2 linked regions of the Xenopus tropicalis genome follow. The protein of the gene in region 2 binds, or shares a complex with, the protein of the main gene of each other region. Links are inferred from orthologs where the notes say so. Each region holds a gene or a part of one and is shown on either strand. Other genes may lie near its edges.

The links. The genes of interacting proteins can lie anywhere in the genome.
Region 1: the proteins of xirp2 (region 2) and nebl are in contact, whole or in part, in a crystal structure (PDB 4F14), measured with the Homo sapiens proteins. The link is inferred for Xenopus tropicalis from reciprocal best matches to the Homo sapiens genes XIRP2 and NEBL. Residues at the interface, in NP_689594.4 of Homo sapiens: Pro2420, Pro2421, Pro2422, Thr2423, Leu2424, Pro2425, Lys2426, Pro2427; in NP_006384.1 of Homo sapiens: Tyr963, Asp964, Tyr965, Asp969, Asp971, Glu972, Ile987, Asp988, Asp989, Gly990, Trp991, Met1004, Pro1006, Asn1008, Tyr1009.

The regions. Positions count from the first base shown.
Region 1 is NC_030682.2:27,395,657-27,404,076, reverse strand, and holds part of nebl (nebulette), read right to left. Parts: intron 6,881-8,420; coding exon 6,776-6,880; intron 5,649-6,775; coding exon 5,541-5,648; intron 4,598-5,540; coding exon 4,487-4,597; intron 4,408-4,486; coding exon 4,297-4,407; intron 4,100-4,296; coding exon 3,989-4,099; intron 2,756-3,988; coding exon 2,645-2,755; intron 1,422-2,644; coding exon 1,311-1,421; intron 69-1,310; coding exon 1-68. UniProt on the Homo sapiens protein: Binds to actin and plays an important role in the assembly of the Z-disk. May functionally link sarcomeric actin to the desmin intermediate filaments in the heart muscle sarcomeres.
Region 2 is NC_030685.2:69,627,440-69,635,859, forward strand, and holds part of xirp2 (xin actin-binding repeat-containing protein 2), read right to left. Parts: intron 6,526-8,420; coding exon 6,427-6,525; intron 5,071-6,426; coding exon 4,998-5,070; intron 3,846-4,997; coding exon 3,736-3,845; intron 2,760-3,735; coding exon 1-2,759.

The DNA.
Region 1 (8,420 bases), on a different chromosome or scaffold from region 2:
GGAATATCTGGACCAACCTGCATTCCTTTCCCTTTGATCTCAGTTTCTAAGTCTTTCTTATATTCCTTCTGTAAAAAATAACACAAAAAAATGTAAATGGTGTACTGGATACAGAAATAATTTGATTCTGTGCCCTCTTTTTAGAGAATTAATATATAGCTAGTCACTTGGGCACCTCCGCTAGTTCTCCAGCATTCAGGCAGGAAAGTGGTGTGCTTCGTTGTGCTAACTCTCATTTTATTTAGCCCATTACTGAAAGCACACATTTTGTTATGAGATAAGGTTCTAGAATTGTACAGTTTATCCCACTATATAGCTTTTAAGCATTGGGTTTGAATAGATAAATCAAGAAATGAGTAGTGGACAAGCAATTGTTCTTTGATATTACAGAACATTGGAACCCCACCATCGTTTTTCAGCTGGAAAAAAGCACCCAAACCTGCCATTTCCAACTACTATTCACTTCCATGGGAAACATAGTATTTTATGGGAATTACTAGTACATAGAAGAAATCATCATCTGAAAATCAGATAAAATGCAGGCAAAACAAAGAGAAAATCAGTAAATACAACAGGGTGTAATTTAATATAGGAAGTGCAGCATACTTTGGGGTGCAGTCAGGTTTAATGTCAAAACAGATGTGCACAGATGCACGCACATGGGGTGGGGTTGCCGGTGCTGCTGGAGGGGGGTGATGCGGTGGGGGAAAGGGCCCTGAACTAGGGGTAGGTGAAAGAAGAGACAAAGTAAAAAAATATAAGGATTAGCTTTCAATATCAGTTTGTAAATGGATAATTTAAAGGGGACCTGTCACCCTAACAAATAATTACATATTCTTTTCTATCATGTTAGTTGAGCAAAATAAACATTACTTATACTGTATAATGTATTTACATTTTGTTTCCTTCAGTCTTGGAAATCACAGCAAACAGACAGGCGCCATTTTGTGGGCATTGTTATTAAGGCATGTTTTGTCTCACCCTAAAATCTTGTGCCAGAATGGGGGACCTAATGTCCATGGCCATGCAAAGACTACGCAAATATAGACTGTGAGAAGGGATGGGAAAGTGAGGAGTGCAATCTACAATGCTGAGTGGAAAGTGAAGGTAATTTACTGCCCCGCCTCTGTGTCTCAGGCAATATATGACAGCTCTGATTTTTAAATACTTTTATGTCTGGGAGACAGGTCCCCTTTAAACTTTTCTGAGAAATTAAATACAACTAAAATTATTAAAGCAGTGAATAAATGAATTCGGCTTTAACTTAAAATGGAAATGCATCTGTAATAAACCTGATGGTCTGTACCAACCTGGCTCACCATTTCAGAGACCCTCTTGACTCGCTGTATCTCAGGTATATCAGTCCCTACTTGCATCCCTTTCCCCCTAATTTCTCTTTCCAAATCTTTTGTATATTCTTTCTGTTTGAGAACACAAAAAGTAAATTTACTTTACCAATGGAAGTATGCCAACTATTTCATGTATTTTACATTTCATAACCCTTTTATTCTCTTAGTGCAGGTGCCTGAAAAACATAATTATTTTAATATGCAGGTATTGGACCTGTTATCCAGAATGCTTGGGACCTGGGGTTTTCCGGATAAGGGATCTTTCCGTAATTTATCATTTAAATATTGAATAAACCCAATAGGATTGTTTTGCCCCCAATAAGGATTATTTATATCTCAGTTTGGATCAAGTACAGGTACTGTTTTATTATTACAGAGAAAAGGGAATCATTTAACCATTAAATAAATCCAATAGGGCTGTTCTGCCCCCAATAAGGATTATTTATATCTCAGTTTGGATCAAGTACAGGTACTGTTTTATTATTACAGAGAAAAAGGAAATCATTTTATAAAATTAAAATAATTTGCTTACAATGGAGTCTATGGGAGAAGGCCTTTCCGTAATTCGGAACTTCCCCAGTGTATGCAGGGGCACTGCTAGCATGAGGCGAGCTGAGAAACTACCCTCAGACAGCAGTGCCCCCAAAGTAACCAGGGACAGCAAAAATTTGCTCCTGATAACTTTAAGAGTGAATCTCTGGTTTTTAAAATGTTTTCTCCTATTGTCCTTTCTTTAGTATATTTCCATGTTCCCTCTCTTTCTTGTGCATTCTGTGTCCCTCTTTAGATTTCCACATGAACTATTCCTCTCACTTTTTCATATTCCTTCTCTTCGCCTGTTAATACTATGCACCCAATTCACTTTTTATTGCTTTCTTTACAATGGTTCCACTTTCTCATATCTCACCTGGCCATTGCCCAACCTCCCCAGCTCTTCTTTACAATGGTTCCACTTTCTCATATCTTACCTGGCCATTGCCCAACCTCCCCAGCTCACTGTTTTTATGCCATGATCTTTAATTTACTGTTACTGTTGTCTTTTCACATTGCAACCTGTTTTTGTTTTCATTTCTCCTAAACCTCATTAATCTTTTATTCTTCAGCCAGGGGGATATTACTATTATTATTATTATTTTAGTTTGGTTGCATATCTGCATGGATCGGTGGAATATTCTGACCTCTAAATGTTTTCCAAATTTTTTTAGTATTTATAAAACAAATGAAAAAAAAACAGAAAAATGCAATTTACACATTAGTTTATGCCAAGGAACTCTGTGACATAGGTGTGTACCAACCTGGCTTACGATTTCCGATACCCTCTTGACCCGCTGTATTTCAGGCATGTCAGCCCCTATTTGCATTCCCTTTCCCTTAATTTCTGATTCCAAGTCTTTTTTGTATCCTTTCTGTTTGCAATCACAAGAAGAAAGTTTAAGTCTTGCACTGAAAGCTTTTTTTAAATATTTTACAGTGCATTTACAGTTTCACATTTAAATTCACTTTTAGTAGGTTATAGAAAGCAGCGCCGGAACTAGGGGTAGGCAGAAGAGGCAGCTGTCTAGGGCACAATTGGGGGGCGCCAGACAGAAGCCTCTCCTGCCTACCTCTAGTACGTTTTCTTTAGTCATTGCCCTCGCCACTTGTCATTACTCGGTGGGTGCAATGATTCATCGCGACACCACCCCAACTTGCCCCCCCTTGCGCGACTGCGCATGCGTGCCAAAGCACACGCAGCGGGGGTGGGGGGGGGAAGCGAGGAGAGGTGGCCAAGGGCACCCAGTCGGCTTGGCCCGCCCCTGATAGAAAGTCTTATCCCTAGCAACTTTGCAGTTGGTCTCACTATTTATTTTTAAATAGTTTATAAATTATCTGCCTTAAGGTGGCCATACACGGGCCGATTCTAGCTGACGATATTGGTCCCTTAGACCAAATCGGCCTGTGTAGGGGCACAAACGACAGGCCTCCCCGACCTGAAATCGGCCAGATATCAATTGGGCAGGTTTGAATTTTAGTCGGATTGGGGACCCCAAGGCCAAACGACCGAATTAGCCCAATATCGCCCACCCATAGGTGGGGGTATTGGGGGAAGATCTGCTCGCTTGGCAAGGTTGCCAAGTGTATCTTAGCGTGTATGGCCACCTTTACTCTTCTGCCTCTTTCCAGCCTTCAAATGGGGGTCACTGACCCAGGCATCCCAAAAACTATGAGTTAAAAATATTATTATTATTATTATTGTTACATTTTATTCCTTTTCTTCCAGTTCACCCTCCTATTCACACCACTGTCTTGTTGCTAAGGTAAACAAGACCCTAGCAACTAGATAGCTAATAAAATTCCAAACTGGAGGGCTGCTGAACAAACAGCTAAATAACTGAAAAAGCACAAACAAATAAAAATGATAATAAATTGCAGATTGTCTCAGAATATCAATGGCGATGTCACACTGACACTAAAAGTGAATTTAAAGGTAAACAATCCCTATAATGCTAAATATAGGGATAAATAATTATATCGTAAACCTTAGGTTCTAAATAATACAATGTTTTATAAGGGTAAAAATATTTATTGATCTAAATACATATTTTTAACAACTTGAAATCAATATTAATACATCAAACAAATCCAGGGTCTGTACCAACCTGGCTCACCATTTCAGTTACCCTCTTGACTCGTTGTATCTCGGGTATATCAGTCCCTATTATCATCCCTTTTCCCTTAATTTCGGTTTCATAATCCTTTGTGTATTCTTTCTGTACAGAGAGCAGAAAATACCTTTTTTCCAATATATGCAAAAGTAATAATAAATAGTTTACTATTGGTTGATCTATCCTTTCTCGCAGAAACTTTTATGAGGACAAAAGATAGGTGTTAAGAGATCAAAGATCAATATTTAAAAAACATTGCCTAGGTAGTCTTGACTGGTAAATCTAGTTTATTTTAAGATTACCTGGCTGGCTATTTCTGATGCCCTTTTTGCCCTGATCATATCTGGGATGTCGGCACTAAATTCCATGCCTTTTCCTTTAATATCATTCTCAAGGTCCTTGCGGTACTCTTTCTACAACAGACAAACACAATACAAATTATGTGGAAATAAATGATAACACTCACATATTGGGCACACTCACTGTTCATACCTCATTCAATATCTGAGCAGCATTCTTCACCCTTATTAAATCGGGGGTGTCTTCTAAGACTGTAAGACCTTTTCCTTTTATCCCTTCTTCCAGATCTTTTCTATATTCTTTCTAGAAAAGACCAGAAAACCACGCTTTTGTTTAGACTGTATGTTGGTATGGAAGACTCTTTTTGCTAATAAAATGCAACCTGACCAGCGTTAATTAGACAGAGCCACCTTGACGTGTTTATGGTGGCCTGGCAATCTTCTGACCAGAAATGCAGAAATAAAAACCCTTATTTTTTAATACATATGAATCATTTTTTATTGGCGATGATCTAAATTTTTGGTATGTATGGATTTGCAGCGAAATTCTGAATGCCATAGGTGAAACCACTGAAAAAAATTGCCATGAAAATCTTGGTGTCCAATATATTTTGCACGTAAAACGTTGCTGTGGGGAAATAGTTGCTGCGATAATGTATTGTGCATAGGAAAAGTAGTCCTGCTGCAAGACAGTTGCAGCAGAAAAAAAAAATTCCCATTGATATCAAAGTGTTTTGAAGATTTTCAACATTTCGTTAATTTTTCGACGGTTTTGCAAATTTTTTTTGTGAAGCGGAAAGGGACATATTTGCACATCACTAATTATTATTATTGGCCATGGGACACTGCTCAATCTCTTTTTTTCTTTGAGTCTCTAGCCCCATTCTTAAAATCCTTGTAAAACATTTAAAATGTTTTGTTTTTTGTTTTTTTAAATCCTTTGAAACCAGTATTGTATTTTCCTTTTTTTGTGAAATATATTGTTGTTTATTTATAAACACTTGGTAAATTTCCACCTATGCAGTAACTCATGGCAGCAAATTACATTACATTGCTTTCATTGTCTATGATTTACTCTCCATTATAAATTATTGATAGTAAGCTGACGAGTTTATTCCAGACAGGACATGAAATGTCTGCCTGCTTGTTAGTAGGAATGACTATTACAGTTCAGTTCAATTCTTACCCTGCATAGTGCAAGAAAAAACAACAAACAAAGTTTGAATTAATTGCACAAGTTCACTAACCTCACTCTGTATCTTCTGAGCCTCCTTTGAAACTTGATATGATGGAGTATCAACAAATTCAAGCAATGACCTTCCCTTAGACTTCTCATATTCCTCCTTGTATTTAACCTGCAAAATGGTCATTAATCAATCAAAGTACATTTTAGTACAAGAATTTGATTTGTACAAAGCCAGAGCTACAGGAAAAAAAAGACCTAGTGCCAAAAGAATCTCTTGTCATTTGCATTAACCCTAGATAGTTCTTGACAGTCAGGAGACTGCTGTAAGTAGTAGTTCTGGGGAGCTGGAGTTTGGATTTCCCTGATGTAAGGAGTGGGAAAATGTTTTTATTGAAATTACTGTTATTTTTAGTTACAGCCATAGATGTTAGGTAGGGCATTCCTCTAGGGAGGTTCTAGATCAGGGTCTTCTCTGCTGGAATGGAGCTGCTGGAGGCCAAGGATGGGCCAGGAACAGCGGAGGAGTTCACAAAAGTAGTGGAGAGGGACCAAAAGTGGACCCCATGAGCCTTTTAGCTAATTTAGGCCAAAGTACCTCATGTGTCTAATCAGCCAGATGTGCACATGGAAGCTACTGAGGAAAGTGACCCTGATGAGAGGACCAAAGCTGCTGGGGTCAGCCTGGCTGGGGAGCCCAAGAATGTAAGCAGCCAAAGAGATCTTGGTCCCAAGGTGCAGCATTATATGTCTTACAAAGACACAAGGGAAAGGTTTGACCATCTGGTCTGGGGTGTCCTTGCCCTTTAGAGACTACTGAGACTAGAGACAGAACTGTTGCCATCCACTATATCATATGGAGCTTTTGTTTAAGAGGCCCTCTTCAGCTGGAAGGCCCCATGTCCCTAATCTCCACTTCCCTTTTAAGAGTTTTACCAAAAGTGGGATCGATGTTGAACGGCAGCCAGGACACGGAAGAGCAGCCAATATGTATAAATAGTTTGTTTTTCTAATGCTAATAATGTTTTCCCTTTGAATCTTTAGTAATGCTATGTTTTAATATTTAATGGTGTTATTTTCTTTACAGCGAGCCAGTAAGGTGTATTTTGTACTTTTAACCTGCACATTTGCTTTCCATAGGGCCCTCTATAAGGCTATGTGCCTAAGTAGATGCCCTCTTCTAAAACTATGCATTAGGTGTTAGTTATGGGTGAAGTACATGCTCTTTTCTCAGTCGTCTTAAACTGGACTTGAGCTATTAGGAATTCCCACTAAATAGCTCTGCATTATATTTCTTACCTGGCTTTGCAGCACAGCATTCTCTTTGTGATGAATCTGCTCTGCTGTATCCAACGCAAAATGATAGATTCCCTTCTGTTCCTCAAATTTCTTCTTGTACATGTTCTATAAGACACAGACATTATATTATTATTATTATTATATTATATTTTTCAGGGGACCAGAAAAAATGTGCCATGCATTATATATTAATGGGACCATGGGAAAACCTAAAGTCAGGGTATGTAAAATGTAGGTTTCTCTGTATTGTTCTTACTATAGAATGTTTCAAGTGTAATGAGTCTCTGTCCCATTAAGCTTACAATGAAAGACTGGTGACTAAGGCACTTAAAGGATAAGTAGCAAATTCAAAGTCACAAGAAAAATGATTCAATGAGACTCAGGACTTTAGACATTTAGGCACTTAAAGGGGAACTCCACCCAAACCCAACTTATGCTTTTTGAAAAGTAAACATAATTTCAAGCACCTTTACAATATACATCAATTAAAAATATGCAACCTCTTCATGATTTTTAATGTAATCGTATGGTTTGGAACAGTTCCCAAAGAATGGCCACCTGTTTCCCTGCTGACCTGCTGACTACTTTATGACTCAAAAAAAAAATGTAATAATAGTTGACTGTCCTCAGCCTGCATCCTCCTAATCCCACAATTCCCTGCACACAAGATGTCAATAAGGAAAGTAACATCTAAGTGCAATGCATTGTGGGTTATGTAGTTCTTGCATGCTGTCTGTAAGTTGTGGTCAAGTTATTACAATTTGTAACATCAATGTTTTAGTCCCTCCTCCCCTGCCAGGATTTCAAATGATGTATAAAGAGAAGAACTGTTTTGCAGTTGGATTTCAGCATATAAAATGGTATATGTTCATACTTTTTGAAGGAACAGATTACAGCGATAGGTATATTAGGGGTTTCTGTGTTGTGTGGGGCTCCTTGCAGTGTTCTGCAGTCAATCACAATCTTAGCTGGCCAGGTCTGACAGCAAATTCTGCTAATGACCATTATTATCCCTAAAGTAATAAGAACATTTAGCCATAAAAAGCAGATCAGTGTACAGTTAAGCCTAATACATAATGTGACCCAAATCAGGACTATAGTTTAACAATGCTAAAATGTTTATCTCGTGGCTGCTGTTCCCCCAACATTTTAGAAAATACTTATTTCAGAGTATTTCCAATCTTTTTTTTTTTTTTGGTCAGGTCTCTAAGCAATGTGTAGAAATAAAAAACAGGCAGATTGGGTCAAGCTGTTCTTCCCCATATTAAATGCAATTTTTCTATAACTGAAGATTTCTCTTATATCTGTTAAATTGCTGTTTTCTGCAGAAAAATAATCACAAATATAACGGGCTGGAGAAAAATAGAGGTAATTAGCTCGCGGCCATGCAGTGAAAGCATTTCACTTTCTGATGATATGTTTTGTGTCGGAGACACTCAGTAAGGTGGAAACAATCTCAGGCAGCTGCAGTAAATTGCTGTACCAGATCTAACAGGGTCTAATAGTGGCTGTAACTGCGCAATCTAAATTGGTGCCCGGCAGTATAAAATCATGTTCTGCAAGCAGAGGAGACCTACAGACTGACTATATCAATCAAGTTTTAAAATGGGTGACCTATTCTATGTTCTCTAGGTTTGTAATTGTA
Region 2 (8,420 bases):
TCCTGAATAGCATACAAAGGCTGTGTTTCAAACATGAGAGTATAATTTTTCACATCCCCTTTTATTATCTCTTCTTCATTAATTGTTCTTGTAAATGACTCTTCAGAATTTTTGTCTGTAATCTGATCCAATGAAAAAGTTTCAAAAATGAAACATCCTTTTCTCACATTGCCACCTTGGACATCGCTAATAGCAAATTCTGACTTGTTTTTCACATGGTCTTCATTAATTTCATCAATAAAATGATTCTCAAACAACCACTTGCAACTAAGGACATTTCCATTCTGCAGGTCCTCTTGATTCATGGTTTTTATTTTTTGCAGCACTTCTTCAGAACTTGAACTAATTTTATCCAAAGGTTGATTTTCAAAAATATACTTCATAGAGGATACGTCACCTGACTGTATGTCAATTTCAACAACTCTTTTGAAGTCCCTTTTCCCTTCTTCTTGTATGTTGTCTAAATTTTCTGTCTCAAAAAGAAAGCATACTCTTTGTACATCTCTGCCTTGAATATTCTTTTGGTTTGTAGTCTCTGTTTTTTCTGATTCATCGTGTATCGAATCTAGAGGTTGTGTTTCAAAAAGCCATGTGCAGGTTTTAACATCTCCCCTTTGAATGTCTACATCGGCTGATATCTTATCTTGTTTTTCATAGAGATCTTCCATTTGTTGAGTTTCAAATAGCCATTTGCACATCTTGACATCTCCTTTAACAATTTCAGTTTGGTTTTCTGTGATTATTTCTTCATCCTCTGCGTTACTAAAATATTTAATAGAATCCAGAGGCTGTGTTTCAAAAAGCCATTTACCCGTTTTAACATCACCAGATTGTATTTGCTCGGAAGATATACCTTTGATAATCTGATAATTCTCAACACTTCTTTCTCGAAATTGGTCAATGGGTATAGTTTCAAACATCCACTGGCAGCTCTGTACATCACCTCTTACAATATCTTCCTTACGGATTGTTTGGACTTCATGAAAATGGCCAAAACGATCCTGAATTGCATAGAGTGGAGTTGTTTCAAAAAGTTTTTTATTAAGCTTTACTGCACCCTTGTCAACATCTTCAACTGCAATTTTATATGTTAATTCGCTTTTTGTAAGATCTCCTTTCTCGAATGCATTTTTACAGCTGATCACATCTCCTTTATGAATTTCATCAAGTTGGACAGTTCGGACATGTTCTTTGTGGTCTTCTCCTATCTCTCCAAGTGATTTTGTTTCAAAAACCCATCTTTGATGGCGTACATCACCTTTTTCATCTTCCATGGTAACTATTGGTTTCAGTTTGCCCACCTCAACACTTTCCTTAAGTTCATCCATTGGCACTGTTTCAAACAAATATTTAGTATTACTTACATCCCCTCCTATTATCTCTTCTCCTTGCATAGGCCTTTCATTGGCATTATCTTTAAGCATGTCCATGGGAATAGTTTCAAAGACCCAACATTTTTGATACACATCAGAACCAATTATGGTTTCTTTTTCTGTGACAGAGCTTTCTACTTCTTTAATTGTATCCAGAGCTTGAGTTTCAAATAGCCACTTTGCTTTTCCTACACCCCCTGTAAGGTTTTCTTCCAGTGATATGCCCCGAACAACTTTAACTTCTACTTCATCCTGGTTGATTGTATCTAAAGGCTGAGTTTCAAACATCCATCTTGCTGTTTTCACATCTCCTTTCTCTACATCTTCTCTCCGAATAGTTTTAATTTCTAGCATTTTTCCAGAACTATCCTTTAAGACATATTTAGGTTCAGTTTCAAACTGCTTTATTGTTGTTTTAACATCACCTTTTAACTCCTCAAGTTCTGAGCTTAGTCTCAGTGAACTGATTTCATTTTGAAAAGTAGATTCAAATAAATGCTTTCCTAATTTTACATCGCCTCCTTTAATTTCTTCAGTGGTTTCCAATGTGTTAGATAAGTCGTCCTCCTTATAAATTTTATTCAAACAATCTAGTGGCTGGGTTTCAAACAACCAGGTAGCTGTCCGCACATCACCCCTTGCAAGATCAGGGACTTTTTCTATATTCTCAGTAGCAGTGGAAATGTCCACACCCAAAGCATCAATTGGTTTTGTCTCAAACATCCATGTTGCATATTTGACATCTCCTCCTGCAATGATCTCTTGCTCTCCAATACGTTTGATATGGCTTGGCTCTGGGGATTCATCTTTGATTGAATCTAAAGGTTGGTTTTCAAAGACCCATCTCATTGATTGCACTTCACCTTTCAGAATTTCATCCCATTCCAGATATTCTCTCTCTGGGCTAATGCACTTTTGAGGACTACCCACTGGATTTTCAAATGCATACTTGACTTGTTGTACATCTCCTTTAGCCTCACCAAGTTGTTCAACTTTATTGGCAACAATGTCAGAAACTTCACTATAAAACTCCTTTTGTAAGTTCTTTCTAAGTTCTGGATGAATATGTTTGTATAAACGTTTTAACTCATAGAGATTCCTTTGCTTGGCGTATAATTCTTTGGACATGGCACATGGTTGCTGTTCTGCATAGCTGGGGGGCTCTGGGGACTGGGAAAAATCTGCCAATTCCTCTGTCTCTAAAATATTTGGAGGAGGTGGAGGTGGAAACTCTTCTAAACTTCCAAATGAAGCTGAAGCAACATTATCAGAGGATGTAGTATGCACGCTTGTCTCCTCAGTCACTGCATTTTGGACTCTATTTGCTGAGTTGCTATGGATGGTAGTTACCACTGGCCACTCAAATTCTGGATGCTCATTATAGATCTTTAGGGAATAAGATACACAATTTTCATTTGCATGGACTAAAATCATGTTCTAAAACAGAAACATCGGACTCATGTGCCTGACCCCCAAAATTGAAGACTATAACCCTCAGAATCCTGTGGACTTGAAAGATGTTGGATATTGCAGTTTATAACACGAAAATGCCTTATATTTTTATATTGTTTATAAATTATATGTGCTAATTTAAAATCTCCTCTTTTAAAGGCACATCTATAGCTGCTCACATCCCCTTTATGAATTTGTTGACATTATATTCCATGGTAACTATTTGTTTGTTTGCCAATTTTAATTTGTATACCAGACTCTTAACCAGGGGGGTGTTAGACCCTTAAGACACCAGAGAGTCTGAAAATGATGTAAATTATACTTGATAATAGCGGTATGCTTTGATTTCAAATAGACAGACAAAAAATTTTTTTAATTTTTTATTAAAGGAAATATTAGTTCTATTACTTTTCTCAGCATTATAGTGCAGGGATAATATTATAAGCAGTGAAAAATAAAATTGGTAATATGACCTTTTAAAAAGTAGTTAATAATTACAAATAGTCCAGTGCCAATTTCCTAAAATATACACCAGTCCTAGGAGCTTGGCTGGAGAGGGGGCATTTTTTGATAGAACAAGTGCACTGGCCTAGGGCAGAAGATTTGGGTTGGTGTCTAAGAGTAGTGGCACATGGGGAGATTAGTTACCCATGGTTAAATCTCGGCTACCACAGGCGACTAATCTCCCCATATGGCATGTCAGTGGAGAGGCATTTTGGGGAGATTAGTTACCCACAGTAGCTGAGATTTAACAGCGGGCAACTAAACACGCTGCGTGCCACTACCCTAACAAATTATTACCCCTAGTGAGATCCTTTGTTCTTTAGCTGCTAAACAAGGGCTATTGAGTTTTTAGTTCTACTTCTAAAAGACTCCATTGTATATACTTATTACAATAAGACATAAATACCTTTGAATGCTTTGGTTGAGAAACAGCGCTTGAATGAGTCTTGGCTCCTTTCTCCTTAAGAGATTTTTCAAATTGTTCTTTGAGAACTTGTGTTGAAATCTTTGGTAGTTCTTCATAATTGTATATAAAAAAGAAAGAAGAAAAGTGAAGCTTAGATTGTTGCTAAGATAATAGACGGCTTAGTCTTCTCTCACTCTGGGCAAGAGAAAAAGAATATTTCACAATAAGCATAGAAAAGTTTTTTTGTTTTTTTTACGTTCAAGACGGTCATGCTATGCAATTCCTTTCCAAGAAAGATGTAATTGCAGGGTTAAAAAATATGTAGGGTGCTTTTCTACTTAACAGCTATAGATATTGCCACTTTGCTGGTCAGTGGGTTTCCTGGGATTTCTATCTTTTCCACAAAAAGCCTTCCCTGGCATCTAACCTATTTTCCAGAAACACAGGGCTATGGCACAAGGATCAGAATTGTGTAGGTGCCACAGCCATACAAAAGGTGATCTAAACTTCATAAAAATTGTTGCGTGCTGTTTGTCTTGGTGGTGGCCTTCTCGTTGACTTTTTGGATCAACCTACAGACACCTCCTTGGTTTTGTTGATCCTACAGAGGCTTCTTCTGCTACTGGAAGAATTATTTTAAGTTTGTATTTATTGAATTTGAGGTCTCCACCCAGAGGTTCCAGAGTAAAGGTGGCCATACACGCTAAGATCCACTCGCTTGAAGAGGTCGCCAAGCGAGCGGATCTTCTCCCCATATCTCCACGTATGGATGGGCAATATCAGGCTAACTTGGTCGTTTGGCCCTGGGTCCAAACAATCAAATTAAGATGGCAAGTATAGGCACCTGTCAGTTTGGGGAGCGCATCAACGAACCGATGCTGTCCATGATCTGACAAAAAAAATCAAACCTGCCTGATTAAGATCTGGCCAATTTCAGGCCAGATGTTGGTTGGGCAGGCCCATCGTTAGTGCCCATACATGGGCTGATAAGCTGCCGAATTGGTCTAAGAGGCCAATATCAGTAGCTAGAATTGGCCCATGTAGCCAAATCATAATTGCTGTATTACATACTGTACATACCTGCTTGTAGCACAACGACCCTGGAAATTATATTCCCATAGCAAGAGTTTGAGCGTACATATAAAATAAAATGGTTTTTTGATCACTAGTACGCTCACATGTTAAATTTCAGATCTAAATTTTCTACTCCAGTGCTTTCAGTCATGTAGCCTTTCCAACCAAATCCAAAGCAGAATTCTTACCTACTTCATCATCTTCTTGATTATAATTAGATGCTGTGCTTGTCTCATGGGTATGTTGCTGATGCACAGAAACCTAAGTAAAGTAAATGATGGCATTTAAAAAAAAAAAAAAAAATAGCTTTATTAGCAGACTCTAAGCTTCAGTAAACATCTGGAAAGGAATTTTACTAAAAGTCTAGATTCAGAATATGTTTTCCTAGAGTTTCTTAGAACAAGTACATACAAATAATTAGCGAAAATAAAGTAATCACTTGAAAGGAGAGACACAGAGTAAACTAAGAGCAGGTGCTTCCATACAGGAGTTAAAGGAACAGTAACACCAAAAATTGAAAGCGAATAAAAGTGATTATGATATAATGAACTGTTGTCCTGAACTGGTGTGTTTGAAAGACTACTATAGTTTATATAAACAATGCTGCTGTAGCCACGGGGGCAGCCATTAAAAGGAAAAAAGGCACAGGTTACTTAACAGAAAACAGATAAAGCCCTATTATATTCTACAATGCTTATCTGTTACCTACTATGTAACCTGTGCCTTTTTTTCCAGCTTGAATGGCTGCCCCTATAGCTACACAAAAGCTAATTTATATAAATTATAGTAGTGTTTCTGTATAAAAAAAACCAAACAGTTTTACCAGTGCAGGGCAACAGTACATTATATTTAAATTACGTTAAAACGCTTTCATTTTTTGGTGTTACTGTTCCTTTAATTATTCAGTAGATAAACCATCATGATAAAGATCATGGCATACTGTAAAAAGAATAAAGGCCTCTGGGCCGGTACATGTTACTAAGATCTATTACAGCTAGAGAAATAGATCTGAGTGATTTGGAGGGAGGGGGGGGGGGTTATTGACAGGAGGGATGGTAATTGGATGGAAAGATATTATCAGATGGGGCGAGTGGGGGGAAAGGTGCACTCTTAATGACCAGGCATTGGTAAAGACAAAGAAGTAGTTAATACAACCAAGCAATACAATCAATATGCGCTATAGAAAGATAGAGCTCCAAGGTTAGGAAGCAGTTCAATAAGGCTCATTGGTGCTCATTGCAGCATCATTTATTAACTTGGACTCTGTATGCTTCTCAGAACAGGGAGGACTGTAATCACCTCTATTCATGAAGAAGGCAGTGTTTACAGAGCTTCATTCGTATGTAGCAGCTGACTTCCCTCTGGCCTTGTGTGTTTTATCAAAAAGCAGGTCAGATCCCAACACCGATCTACCTATGGGATGTTTTTGACACTGCCCCCTTGTGGTTCTTATTGGAGCAGCGGCTCTGAGGTACTATGCTTTTGCTAATGGCACAGCAGGGTGGGATGCTCCATGTAAATGGGAACAAGTTGACTAACTTAATATCAGAAGGCCAACTGATGTGCGGTGCTTCTTTTATTTCAATAGATACCTGTACATATTGCATTGATGCATACCTGTTCTGCATTTGCAGCTGTAAACTGGGATCTTTGCTCCGCTGCATGGCTGCTGCTACTGCTGCACGAGAATGTTACTTCTTTGCTCTTTCTTGTTTCCTAAACAAACAAAAATTGTAGGAGTATATATATTTATTTAGAACTGAGAATAAATAAATCAGCCTACAAAAAGAGAAATGAAATACTAATGCGTCATAGCAGCCTGATTGTGGCAGAATTGTAACCATTTTACCATAACACTGTCCCACTGCGCCCCCTAGTTTTGCTATAAAAGTTGCCAAAAAACGTAATTATAGCTGCAAGAAAATTCACCAGTGAGAATTCTACTATCAAAAACTTCATTATAAATGCAAAATAACTGACCAATGAGAATGCGGATTCCCAGCACTGTGTCAGGCATCTTGCTGTTATCTTACATATAGAGATAATTATGTAATTTTTTCCAACTCCAATTGCTGGAACAGAGAACATGGTGTCAGATTTACACTGATCAGCTGGGATTCTCATTTCTTGCATTTTAATGCAGTCCCTGGCCCTGGAGATTTCGGGGAAAGTTTAGGAAAAGTTTTATTGTGCAATATTGCTTTAAGAATACAACCCTGATGTTCCTGGACTACAGCTCCCAGCATGTCTCAGCCTTCATTAAATGTTACATTATTCTGGGATTTGTAGTCCAGCAACAGCCGAGTAAAGTTTGGTTGAGCAGTGCAGTACAGCAGGGTTTAGTGTCCCTTTAAATGTCACACACACATGCGTGTGTATACACATACACATACACTCACGCACATATGTAGACAAAAGCAAGTGCACATATGCATATGCTGTCGGCGAATAACAAGTATTTATACAGCACCAACATATTCCACAGTGTTGTACAATAAAATATTAAATGTACCAAACATACAGATTACATACAAATTTTGACCAATACAAAAGGTAAACATGGCCCTGCCCCTTGGCTTACAATCTATCAGGAGAAGTGAACATGAGTCACAAGATATGGGGCTGGGAATTATCAGGCATTAGAAAAGTAAGAAAATGAATACAGAGCTCAGCAAGTGGAAGGAGCTTACATGATATGAGAAAGGAATGGTAAATTTTTGATGATGTGGTTTAACCTATGGTAATATGTAGGAGTATGCTAAGATTTGTAGCCCAGGAAATTCTGGACAAAGAAAATCCTTGACAATGTGGCACTGGTAACAAGGGTATAGTGTGTGTGTGCCAAGATCTTGAGTTTGTCGTTGAACAGGAAAAATAATGCCTGCATATCATAGACCCATTGTGGTATCATCATCAAGTTGCTCTTTGTTTACTAATCTTCACTAATCGCTAATCTTCCAGAATCCATATCTACAGCAATGCCTAAGCCTGCCTATAAGGGATCTATGGGAAGGGGATGCACAACAACATTACAGAGGAAAAAAGATGTTTGCATAGCATAGACCCATTGTGGTATCATCATTAAGTCCATTTACATTGTTCACTGTAAGCGCTCAGTCTTCCTGAATCTGTATCTAGTGTGATTAATGCTGAGTGTCTCACCATATAGTAAAAACAAAACACATAATGCCTCCCCTTGGGTTTTTTAAAGCCCCGGTGAAGCAGCACAATAACCGCGCATTCATACTTTACTAGGGGTTTGATTCAGATGTATTATGTTATTATGGAATGGAAGAGTAATTGAAATTGCAATTTGTGAGCGTATCTTTTCGGCTGCCTCTGGGATGCATTATTTTAAATGTAGTCATTTGTGAGAAGCATTTAAAGCTTTGTTTTAAACGACTTCGCCTGGTGAAAGCCCAATTTAATCAGGCAAGAACATTTTCTCGCTCATATGCAGTAGAGGCATGAAAGAAAAACACTACTTCATTTCAGTGTATTATAGTTCAATTGAGAAAAGGAAACAATACAATTCCATGGCAACATTTCCTTACTGCAAGAAAAGCATAACACTTCTTAAAGTTCTTTGGCAAACTGTAAGGAAATTGATG